3 linked regions of the Daphnia pulex genome follow. The protein of the gene in region 1 purifies or fractionates together with the protein of each later gene. This does not show direct contact. Links are inferred from orthologs where the notes say so. Each region holds a gene or a part of one and is shown in the gene's direction. Other genes may lie near its edges.

What was found.
Region 2: the proteins of eukaryotic initiation factor 4A-III (region 1) and nuclear cap-binding protein subunit 2-like purify together in Homo sapiens (co-immunoprecipitation; 3 studies listed by BioGRID and IntAct, with this or other methods). This does not show direct contact. The link is inferred for Daphnia pulex from reciprocal best matches to the Homo sapiens genes EIF4A3 and NCBP2.
Region 3: the proteins of eukaryotic initiation factor 4A-III (region 1) and regulator of nonsense transcripts 1-like purify together in Homo sapiens (co-immunoprecipitation; 8 studies listed by BioGRID and IntAct, with this or other methods). This does not show direct contact. The link is inferred for Daphnia pulex from reciprocal best matches to the Homo sapiens genes EIF4A3 and UPF1.

The regions. Positions count from the first base shown.
Region 1 is NC_060018.1:3,384,294-3,387,932, reverse strand, and holds eukaryotic initiation factor 4A-III, read left to right. Parts: upstream 1-1,131; 5' UTR 1,132-1,261; coding exon 1,262-1,409; intron 1,410-1,516; coding exon 1,517-1,719; intron 1,720-1,774; coding exon 1,775-1,907; intron 1,908-1,971; coding exon 1,972-2,105; intron 2,106-2,160; coding exon 2,161-2,249; intron 2,250-2,306; coding exon 2,307-2,445; intron 2,446-2,508; coding exon 2,509-2,624; intron 2,625-2,687; coding exon 2,688-2,923; intron 2,924-2,989; coding exon 2,990-3,006; 3' UTR 3,007-3,131; downstream 3,132-3,639. Other genes in the region: 39S ribosomal protein L35, mitochondrial-like, read right to left, coding at 208-436, 488-595, 651-874; ATP synthase mitochondrial F1 complex assembly factor 2-like, read left to right, coding at 3,511-3,639. UniProt on the Homo sapiens protein: ATP-dependent RNA helicase. Involved in pre-mRNA splicing as component of the spliceosome. Core component of the splicing-dependent multiprotein exon junction complex (EJC) deposited at splice junctions on mRNAs.
Region 2 is NC_060026.1:16,276,816-16,279,631, forward strand, and holds nuclear cap-binding protein subunit 2-like, read left to right. Parts: upstream 1-1,090; 5' UTR 1,091-1,286; coding exon 1,287-1,325; intron 1,326-1,470; coding exon 1,471-1,557; intron 1,558-1,617; coding exon 1,618-1,712; intron 1,713-1,776; coding exon 1,777-1,915; intron 1,916-1,973; coding exon 1,974-2,072; 3' UTR 2,073-2,169; downstream 2,170-2,816. Other genes in the region: hsp70-binding protein 1-like, read right to left, coding at 1-102, 163-384, 449-734. UniProt on the Homo sapiens protein: Component of the cap-binding complex (CBC), which binds co-transcriptionally to the 5' cap of pre-mRNAs and is involved in various processes such as pre-mRNA splicing, translation regulation, nonsense-mediated mRNA decay, RNA-mediated gene silencing (RNAi) by microRNAs (miRNAs) and mRNA export.
Region 3 is NC_060017.1:7,852,850-7,855,921, reverse strand, and holds the end of regulator of nonsense transcripts 1-like, read left to right. Parts: coding exon 1-441; intron 442-504; coding exon 505-864; intron 865-960; coding exon 961-1,398; intron 1,399-1,464; coding exon 1,465-1,650; intron 1,651-1,726; coding exon 1,727-1,735; 3' UTR 1,736-2,518; downstream 2,519-3,072. Other genes in the region: parafibromin-like, read right to left, coding at 2,981-3,017. UniProt on the Homo sapiens protein: RNA-dependent helicase required for nonsense-mediated decay (NMD) of aberrant mRNAs containing premature stop codons and modulates the expression level of normal mRNAs.

The DNA.
Region 1 (3,639 bases):
CCCCACCCCCTGATATTATGTAACAGTTTTTCAAATTTCTTCTGTTCATGTACTCAAAGATAACACTTCAGTAATACATTTCAGTTCAAGTTAAATATGGTTAAGATATTTGTACAACCAATATTTTTTAACATTGGAATGAAATAAATACAATAAATTTCCTTTTCCATTATTTGAATGTATTTGAACTAGTATTAATTATAGACCTCAATGAGGTTTAACAGCACTTGATGGATACTCTTCTCGCTGATGATACGACTCGTACATGTCATCAACGTAAAACCGTCTCTTTCTCCAGTATTTCGTTACCATTTTGTCAAGAAGAGTTGACTGGGTAGCATTACAAAATACATGCTTTTCACCCCGAATCTTCCTTTTTGCTGTTTTGCTCCAGTGACGTTTACTGTGTCCCACCATTGGCCTTATCCATGCACCCCTAAGAAAACATAATGAATATAAATAACCAGGAATGAATAAAATATATTACCATCCTAAACGATAGAACCTAGAAACAACAGCTTTAACTGTTTTGCGCTTCCCTTTTTTGAGTGACCATTTTGTAACTGATCGGGTTTGCTGCAAAGAGGGAGTAGTTCTGCAAGAAAGTAAGCTTAATTTGTGTGCTTAATAAAATTTAAATTCTTGCTTACAATGACAGATTTTGAAGCAATGGGGAAATAGATGATAATATACTTGGGGTAGCATTCATGGAAGGGTATTGGACACACCGAAAAGTTGATTCTGACGAACCCGAAAAAAACCTTGATGTGCTAGGCAGCAAAATTTTTGCTTTGACTGAAACGACATTTTTAGAAATTGGTGAATAATTCGCCAATCGAAAAGCCGATTGAATAACGTTTTTCAAAGTAAACATTTTAGATTTTTATTTTTCTTGAATCGGGAGAAAATTATTTTCAGTGTTCGTTCGTCTGCTTAATTGAATCTTTTCATGCACGATATCGATATACAAATTACAAAGGCCAGGTCTTTAAAAGGTTTTTAGCAACTTTCATTGATTTTTATTAAATTAAAAATTAAATTAGTTTCAAATTTTAGTGGATCATGAATCATTACTTTTAAGTTGTAAATTTTTGCTTTGAAACCATGAGTATGAAAATTTGGCAACACAGTTGACTCCATGTTGAAGCGATTTTAACGTCTGTAACATTCATTCTATAGCATCCTTTCACCCTTGCCGAACGGACGCAAACTAATTATTCACGAACTATCGTGCTTTTTCACACTTCTGATTTCTAAAAAAATGGAGTCTAAAGGCAGACGTGTTGTCCAACAGATGCCGGATGATTTAACTAATATTGAATTTGAAACGAGTGAAGATGTCAATGTTATTCCCACATTTGACAGCATGGGCCTCCGTGAAGACCTGCTAAGAGGAATTTACGCTTATGGTACGTACAAATGAGACTTTCACTTGTTGAGACCTTGCTCCATTATTCACATTATCCTTAACCTACATGATTTTTAATGTTGAGGTTGGCTTTAAATGTTTCTATAGGATTTGAAAAACCATCAGCTATTCAGCAGAGAGCAATTGCCCCAGTAATCAAGGGGAGAGACGTTATTGCCCAAGCCCAATCCGGTACTGGCAAAACAGCCACATTTTCAATTTCAATTCTTCAGAGTCTTGAAATTCAAACAAGAGAAACTCAAATATTGGTTCTAAGCCCCACTCGAGAGTTGGCAGTTCAAATTCAGAAAGTATGTTATGGCATTACTTTCTGTAGTACAGTGTTTTCATTTAGCTTGTGTTTAGGTTATTCTGGCTCTTGGTGATTACATGAATGTTCAATGCCATGCGTGTATCGGCGGCACTAATGTTGGAGAGGATGTTCGAAAATTGGACTACGGTCAGCACATTGTTTCTGGAACCCCTGGACGTGTATTTGGTATATTTTGCTATTTCTGTTTGTTAAGTTTGGATTGATGATAAGTGTCTTGATAACTCTACAGATATGATTCGCCGACGTACACTAAGGACACGTTCAATTAAAATGTTGGTCCTGGATGAAGCCGATGAAATGTTAAATAAAGGGTTCAAGGAGCAAATTTACGATGTCTACCGTTACCTTCCTCCAGCAACCCAAGTATGTTTTATGATATTTCATAAGAAAAACCAATTAAATCAATCTTTTATTCAAGGTGGTTCTTCTTTCAGCCACATTGCCTCATGAAATCTTGGAGATGACCAGCAAATTCATGACAGATCCCATTCGCATTTTAGTCAAACGGTAAACGTTGTTAAAAGTCTGCTTGTTTTTTATTACTAATTATTTTATGTGGTTTAGTGATGAGTTGACACTCGAAGGAATCAAACAGTTCTTTGTCGCTGTCGAAAGAGAAGAATGGAAGTTTGACACGTTGTGCGATCTGTACGACACACTGACAATCACGCAGGCGGTTATTTTTTGTAATACTAAACGCAAGGTTAGTCACGATTAAATCTCTTCTATTGTTGATTTCGATGTAACACAGTTAGATTGATTTTAGGTTGACTGGTTGACGGAGAAAATGCGTGAAGCGAATTTTACCGTTTCTTCAATGCACGGAGACATGCCTCAAAAAGAGCGTGATACTATTATGAAAGAATTCCGTAATGGTCAGAGGTATTGAAATTTTCGTCTACCATATAACCATTCAGAGTAATAACAATTATTCGTTTATTCTAGCCGAGTTCTTATTACAACTGACGTTTGGGCTCGTGGTATTGATGTTCAACAAGTTTCGTTGGTCATTAACTACGATCTCCCTAACAACCGTGAGTTGTACATCCATCGTATCGGTCGTTCTGGCCGATTCGGACGTAAAGGTGTTGCAATTAACTTTGTCAAGAATGACGATATCCGTATTCTCCGCGATATCGAACAGTACTATGCTACACAGGTTGACGAAATGCCCATGAATGGTAAAATATTTTTAGCATGTTTTTTTTTAACTCTTTCTAAATGTGTTTGTTTTTAATCAATTTCAGTGGCTGACCTCATTTAATCTATAATCCATTTCGGAAAAAGGAAAACAAAGAAGTTGATGCGTCATGTTTTTATTTTGCTGGATTTTTTTTTTCTGTATCCCCGAAGATTTGGACTAAATATATGAAACTTGTGGCCGTTTAATTAATTGTCTTGTTCCATTGTTGGAGTCTAAAAATGACGTCTACTTTACTCGTAGATCTGAAGTAATATATGAACCTTTTGCTCATGAGTTATGACTTATTGACTTATGAGTTATGACACAGTATTTATAATAAGGCATGTTGATTTTTTTTACTCACTTTGAAAATACTTGCGACAATTCGAAACCAGTATTTGAAGGACGTTCCAAATTCCAATTACAAAGTTAGATTTGTTGTATCTCTAGTAGCTGAACAAAAGCTAGAAACTAGCTGAAAACTTGGTTGCTGAAACCCAGTACCCCACATTTCCTTTTTTCTGTTTGAAAACAGTTTTGGTCTGCTACAGTTCGAAGCACCCGGTTGTTGCTTGTTGGTGGGTGATGAAATCATTTGTCACCTCGTCAACAATGTCTTTTTCAACTAATAATTTAATACGTTTTGGCTCCGGCACTTCTAATTTATTGAGAATACTTGGTAATAATCAAATAGGAGCTGGAAACGGTGTTACT
Region 2 (2,816 bases), on another chromosome or scaffold:
TTTTCAGTTTCCCGAGTGATGATTGCAGTGCTCTCAGTAAAGACGAGAAACCATCACAATGCACAAATGCATCCTGGGCTTCTGCACATTCTCTTGTCAAACCTATAATCAATCAATTGTTAACTGAATTCCCTTAGTGTGAGTTGTAAATCTGCTCATTACATGAAATGGCGTACAGGGCTTTGATTCTCGCCTCTTCACAGTCATCGTTTTCCAGCATTTTAAGCAAAATTGGCAATAGGTCTTCGTTGAGCACATGCTGTTGGCAGTATGGGTTGTTCTGGGTGAGGGTGCCAATCAACTGACAGCACCTCCAACGAACTCCATCGTGGGGAGAATTCAAACAGGGGATGAGGATGAAAAATCCTCCTATCTTGTGAAAGTCTGGAGAAACAAGCGAAACAAGTGTCAATGTTTTATTCAATCAATAAAAAAAGATATCTCATACCATTAGCCGTGTCCATGGAATCGGCAAAGTCAGTAATCATTTCCAATGCTTCCTCCATCTCCTGGGGATCTTCTTCAGGACTTTCGACTCGATCTGGATTGAGGATATTTAACGATTTTGATATTTCGGCTACAACGTCGACTGACAATCCTCTTAGAGCTTCTTCTAACCAGCGTCTCCTTTCTTCACTCATCGATGTGGTTGTGGTACGATCTTCAGCTGCGGTGCCTTCGATGGCAAATCTTAAAAGTCCTTGCATATCTCTTGGTTGTCGTGGGGGTTCCATTGTTTTGCTAAGGATCTCAACAACAACTTGTTATATATTTATGAAGAATAAGACGCAGTACGCAAGTTAAACCGTGAACGCATGGGGCAAGCAGACGTCAATGAAACTGTTTACTAGCAAAATCAAGAAGAGTCTGGAATAAAAAGAGCCATCTAGGCATGACTCGCATAACTTAAAAAATTTTGACATTTACAAAACAAACCTGTTAAGTTAATTAAGATTTGGATAAAATTCATTGAGATTTTAAAAAATTATTGAAAAAATCTGCGAAAGTGTGTCATATTTTTATTTGGTTTTTAATTGTAGTTTAACGCCGGAATGGGTTTCTAGCAAGTGACGTAACCTAGCGGCCGCCATAAGCATCTTTTCGAAAGTCACTCGCGTCAGGTTTGTTGTGTCAACGCACACTTTTTTTTAGAAAAAAACCACACCAATTTTAGTAATTTAAAACGCATAAAGTTTAGCCGGTTGATTGGCTGAATACAAGGACACTTAATTCGGAAGACACTGGGGTGAACGGTGTGATTGGTTCTCCCGAAATAATTCGTAGAAATGGCGGTTCCAAGCACATACCGAGACCAACATTTCAAAGTAAGCCTCATGAGTTGATAGCAGAATTGAAAATGTAACTTAATATACAGTTTTGAGGCAATTAATGTTTAAATGGAAATGCATACCTTAATAATTAAAAATATTTTGATATTTCAAGCCAAAATAACTGATTTCCATCTTTCAGGGTTCCCGGGTAGAGCAGGAGCGTCTGTTGAGTCAATCTTGCACCCTGTATGTTGGAAACTTGTCCTTTTACACAACTGAAGAACAGGTTAAATACTTCCAAGTCAACAATTGGTTCCATTTGATTTCATCTTTTCAAATATTTTAGATCCATGAATTGTTTGGGAAATGTGGCGATGTCAAGAGAATCATCATGGGATTGGACAAGTTTACTAGGACCCCTTGTGGATTTTGTTTTGTAGAGTAAGTCATTGCAACCAAATCCAATAACAAAATTGTGTTTAATTATTTCTAATTATCTTTCAAGGTTTTACCTGAGGAATGATTCAGAAAATGCCATCAGGTTTGTGAATGGGACAAGACTGGATGACAGAATTGTGAGAACTGACTGGGATGCTGGCTTCATTGAAGGAAGGCAATATGGCAGAGGCAAAACTGGAGGACAGGTCAGCATTTCGTCAGCTCAAACTTATTGTTCTCAACTAATGGATTTCTGTTTTGCAGGTGAGAGATGAATACCGAACTGACTTTGATGGTGGCAGAGGAGGATGGGGCAAAATGATTCAGCAGAAGGTGGCCACATCTGCTGCTGCTAACAATTGATAACATTTCTAAATACTGTATTCATTCATCTCTGTGTGTTTTTTTTTTTAACAAATGTCAACAAGTGTTATCCTCAATTAAAACAGACCATGCTGAATTGATTTCCTAAACAAAATCTTTTTTACCTGTGAAAGAAGACGTTTCTCGTCATGTTTCCATCTGCCAGTCCGGTTGGCCTGGATTTTATCGATCGAAAAGTGGGGACACTAGAATCTCTTGCCATGTGATCTGTCACTCCCAAAGCTTTTTCCTTTTCAAAGCGAAGCGGGTAGTTTCCCAGAAGAGCTTTTGCGGCCGCGTGATGCACGCCATCATCTACATGCAAAGAAATATTTGAATATTCAATTCCCAGTGGTCGTCTGCAACTTATAACGAATGTCACAATTGAATTTGTGTCAAATGTGAAGCTAATTCAATGATCATTGATCAATTAGATGATTTCCAAAATGGAAATGGTATCGATTTCTGATTGCTCGGTAGTTGTTTAGTTATTCCAAATTAAAACTAACTTATTTATCGTTCGAAGAAAGAATGTGCTTGACGTGACATTCAACGTGCATCTGAACTACCAGGAAAATTGTACTGAGTGAGTGTGTGTGTATCTGGTGTTGGCTGTTTGAATATTTCTGGGCGACGGCAATCGAGTTCTCTCCCACTGCTGCAGCCGCTGGAAGCATTCATGTCCGCGTGCCGATCCGCGTGCTCCGCCGTGAGGCTATAGCGGGACTGGTGCATGTTGGCTGG
Region 3 (3,072 bases), on another chromosome or scaffold:
AAACCAGCTGCCAAAGCTGGTCTCTCGCAATCACTGTTTGAAAGACTGGTAGTACTTGGCATCCGGCCCTTCCGTTTGGAAGTACAGTACCGTATGCACCCAAGGTTGTCCGAGTTTCCTTCCAACTTCTTTTACGAGGGATCACTACAGAATGGTGTTTGCGCGGAAGACCGAATCCTTCGCGGGGTAGATTTCCCTTGGCCAATGCCAGATAGGCCCATGTTCTTCTACGTTACATTGGGTCAGGAGGAAATTGCTGGATCGGGTACGTCCTATTTGAACAGAACGGAAGCGTCAAATGTGGAAAAGATTGCTACACGTTTTCTTCGATCCGGAGTCAAACCAGAACAAATTGGCATCATCACACCGTACGAAGGACAAAGAGCTTATCTTGTACAGTACATGCAACATCAAGGATCACTACATGCTAAATTATACCAAGTAAGGGAATTCATATTTCAAAACCTTTTACGAAATCTTTAAATTTGTATTTTGTTTTTGAAGGATATCGAAATAGCTAGTGTAGATGCTTTCCAGGGTCGCGAGAAAGACCTCATCATCATGTCGTGTGTTCGCTCAAACGAGAACCAAGGAATCGGTTTTCTCAACGATCCCCGTCGTTTGAACGTTGCTATGACTCGCGCCCGTTACGGAATCATTATTGTAGGCAATCCTAAAGTGTTGGCCAAGCAGCCTGTATGGAATCACCTGCTTCACTTTTACAAAGAAAATCATGTTCTAACTGAGGGAGCTCTCAACAACCTCAAAGAATCCATGATGCAGTTTCCCAAGCCAAAGAAACCAATTAATAGTTTTAATCCTGGTCAGCATTTCATGTCCACAGCCGTCTACGACGCACGCCAGGTATGTTCGTATTCACAAAAGAATTATTTCAAATTATGTAGTGCTTGTCTGTCAAGGATCTTGTATTCTATTTTAAAATAATCTTATCATTTAAAGGCCATGGTTCCTGGTTCCGTCTATGATCGTTCGGGTGGGGGTCAACCACCAAACAACAATGGTATGAATACTTACATACCTCGAGCCACGGCCAATGTTGGAGATCCGTACAGCCGTTTGCACGATCCAATCGGTTACATTGCTCCAGAGAGGGCACAGGCCGCTCTTTCTGCTATGCCCGTTCCCTTGGGTGTCTTTATGAACATGACGCACGTCCCGCCTAGATTCCACGGCCAGCAGCAACAAGGGATGCATGGTTCATCCAAATCCAATCAGAGGCCAAAAGACAATGCCCGAGGAAGTGGGCCTCGCGCTGGCAAAGCCGCAAGCAAGGGAAGTTCTTCGCTGTTTACACAGTCACTTTCGCAGAATACACAGGATGTATCAACGCAGCCTTTCAGCCAGGGTGGCATGGCTCTCACCCAAGGAATGTCACAGGTACTAAATAATGCCAAGTTGAAAGGGTCGCGAAGGTATGCTTATCCATTTTAAATGTTCTTGTAGGGGATGTCGCAGACGGTCTCGGGCTTCGGAGCACTATCGCAATCGGGTCTATCCCAGTTAGATCCGTCACAAGACGCCTATATGTCATCAGATTATCAGTCGCAAATGGATGGACTGCTCTCTCAAGACTCGACGTATCAAGGGGGCCGTTCAGCCTTCTTCCGCCATGGCTCTCAATTCACGCAGGTAGGTTGATGAAGCGAATTTGTCTTACTCTTTGATTGAGCCTGTTGTTTTCAATCTAATGCCGACCTTTTCTTAGCCATACTGAAAACTGTAAGGCGTTGCAGTAATAAAAAAGACCCTAAGAAAATTGACGATGACGACGCCTGGCGGCAGCCGACCGTATTTGAATTCATCTTGCAGTTAAAGATAAAAGAGAAAAGGGGAAATCCAACGTTCATCAACTGACAGCTCGAAAGACCTATGCCCATCTATCAAATGGCCTTCAACGTCGCACACCATAAGCAGCACTAGCAATCTGCCGTTGAAGCAAGAGAGCGGTGTCCAGACGAACGAGCCGATAACGGAGCTGATGGGCTTCAACAAATTAATGTCGAAAAATACGGGAAACAACTGCTATACCCATACCATCCAACATAGTGGACCCTACCTAAGTCTGTTTCTAGTGGGTTGGAAGCCAACACAAAATCCCTTCGACAAACGACGTTTTTTTTTCGATAGAACGTCACCCAAAATTAGAATGCTTCTTTTGTAGGCCCCTCAGTTGATAACGCGTTCGAAGCTTAGTGAACTGATTTTTTTGAATTGTTTATTTCTCTTGACTTGTTTTCTCTCCAGTCGACCAATGCTTTCTCTGTTTCCTTTCACGCTCTTCAGCTTTCTTCACCTTATGCTTTTACATGCAAGTTTAGTTGTCCATTCATTTCGCGAGGATTAGTGTTGGGTTACTGGATGTTCTCACTTTGCTGTTGCCGAGCCCTTTAATAGCGCTCTTTTGTAGGAAGCAATTTCACATCGTGCGTTTTCTTTCCATCTTGACGGAGAAAATCAGATGGAAAGAAGATCAGAATACACTTTGTTTCACGGGAAATCATCGAGTGCGTTCTTTCTTTTAAATATTCAAGCTAACTCTGTTGTGCATAAAAAAATGACTGATATTTTTGTTTGGCAATCAACTACATAGTTATGAAACATTGTCTTCGTCTTCTCAGTGTTGCCAATGAAATTCTGATGATCCTGTAAGCAATTTCCAACTCAGCTGAAGGCTGGTGAGATCCACTTTACCACTAGGAATATATTCTTTAAAAGTGTCCTCGGCGTCTGCCATTTAGTTCCAGCCTATCACCAAAAACAACAATCCTTAAAAAATTTTAACACCAATTGGATAAGAAAGAGCCTTAAAATTGGATTAGTATTTTGATTGGATGTGAACAGGTCCGTGTATCACAAAATCAAAATTAAAGACATTACAGAAGGTGCCAACAAATTTTCGAAAGATAACGCGTATTAGTAAGAAAGATTTTGATACCCCATAACTCGTTGAAAGTGATGCTCAAAATCGAAGATGTTGTTTGTTTTTTAACATGTGCCTGGATAAAATAGAAAATATTTATGCAAGGAGAATAAAAGACTAAGAACATGGAA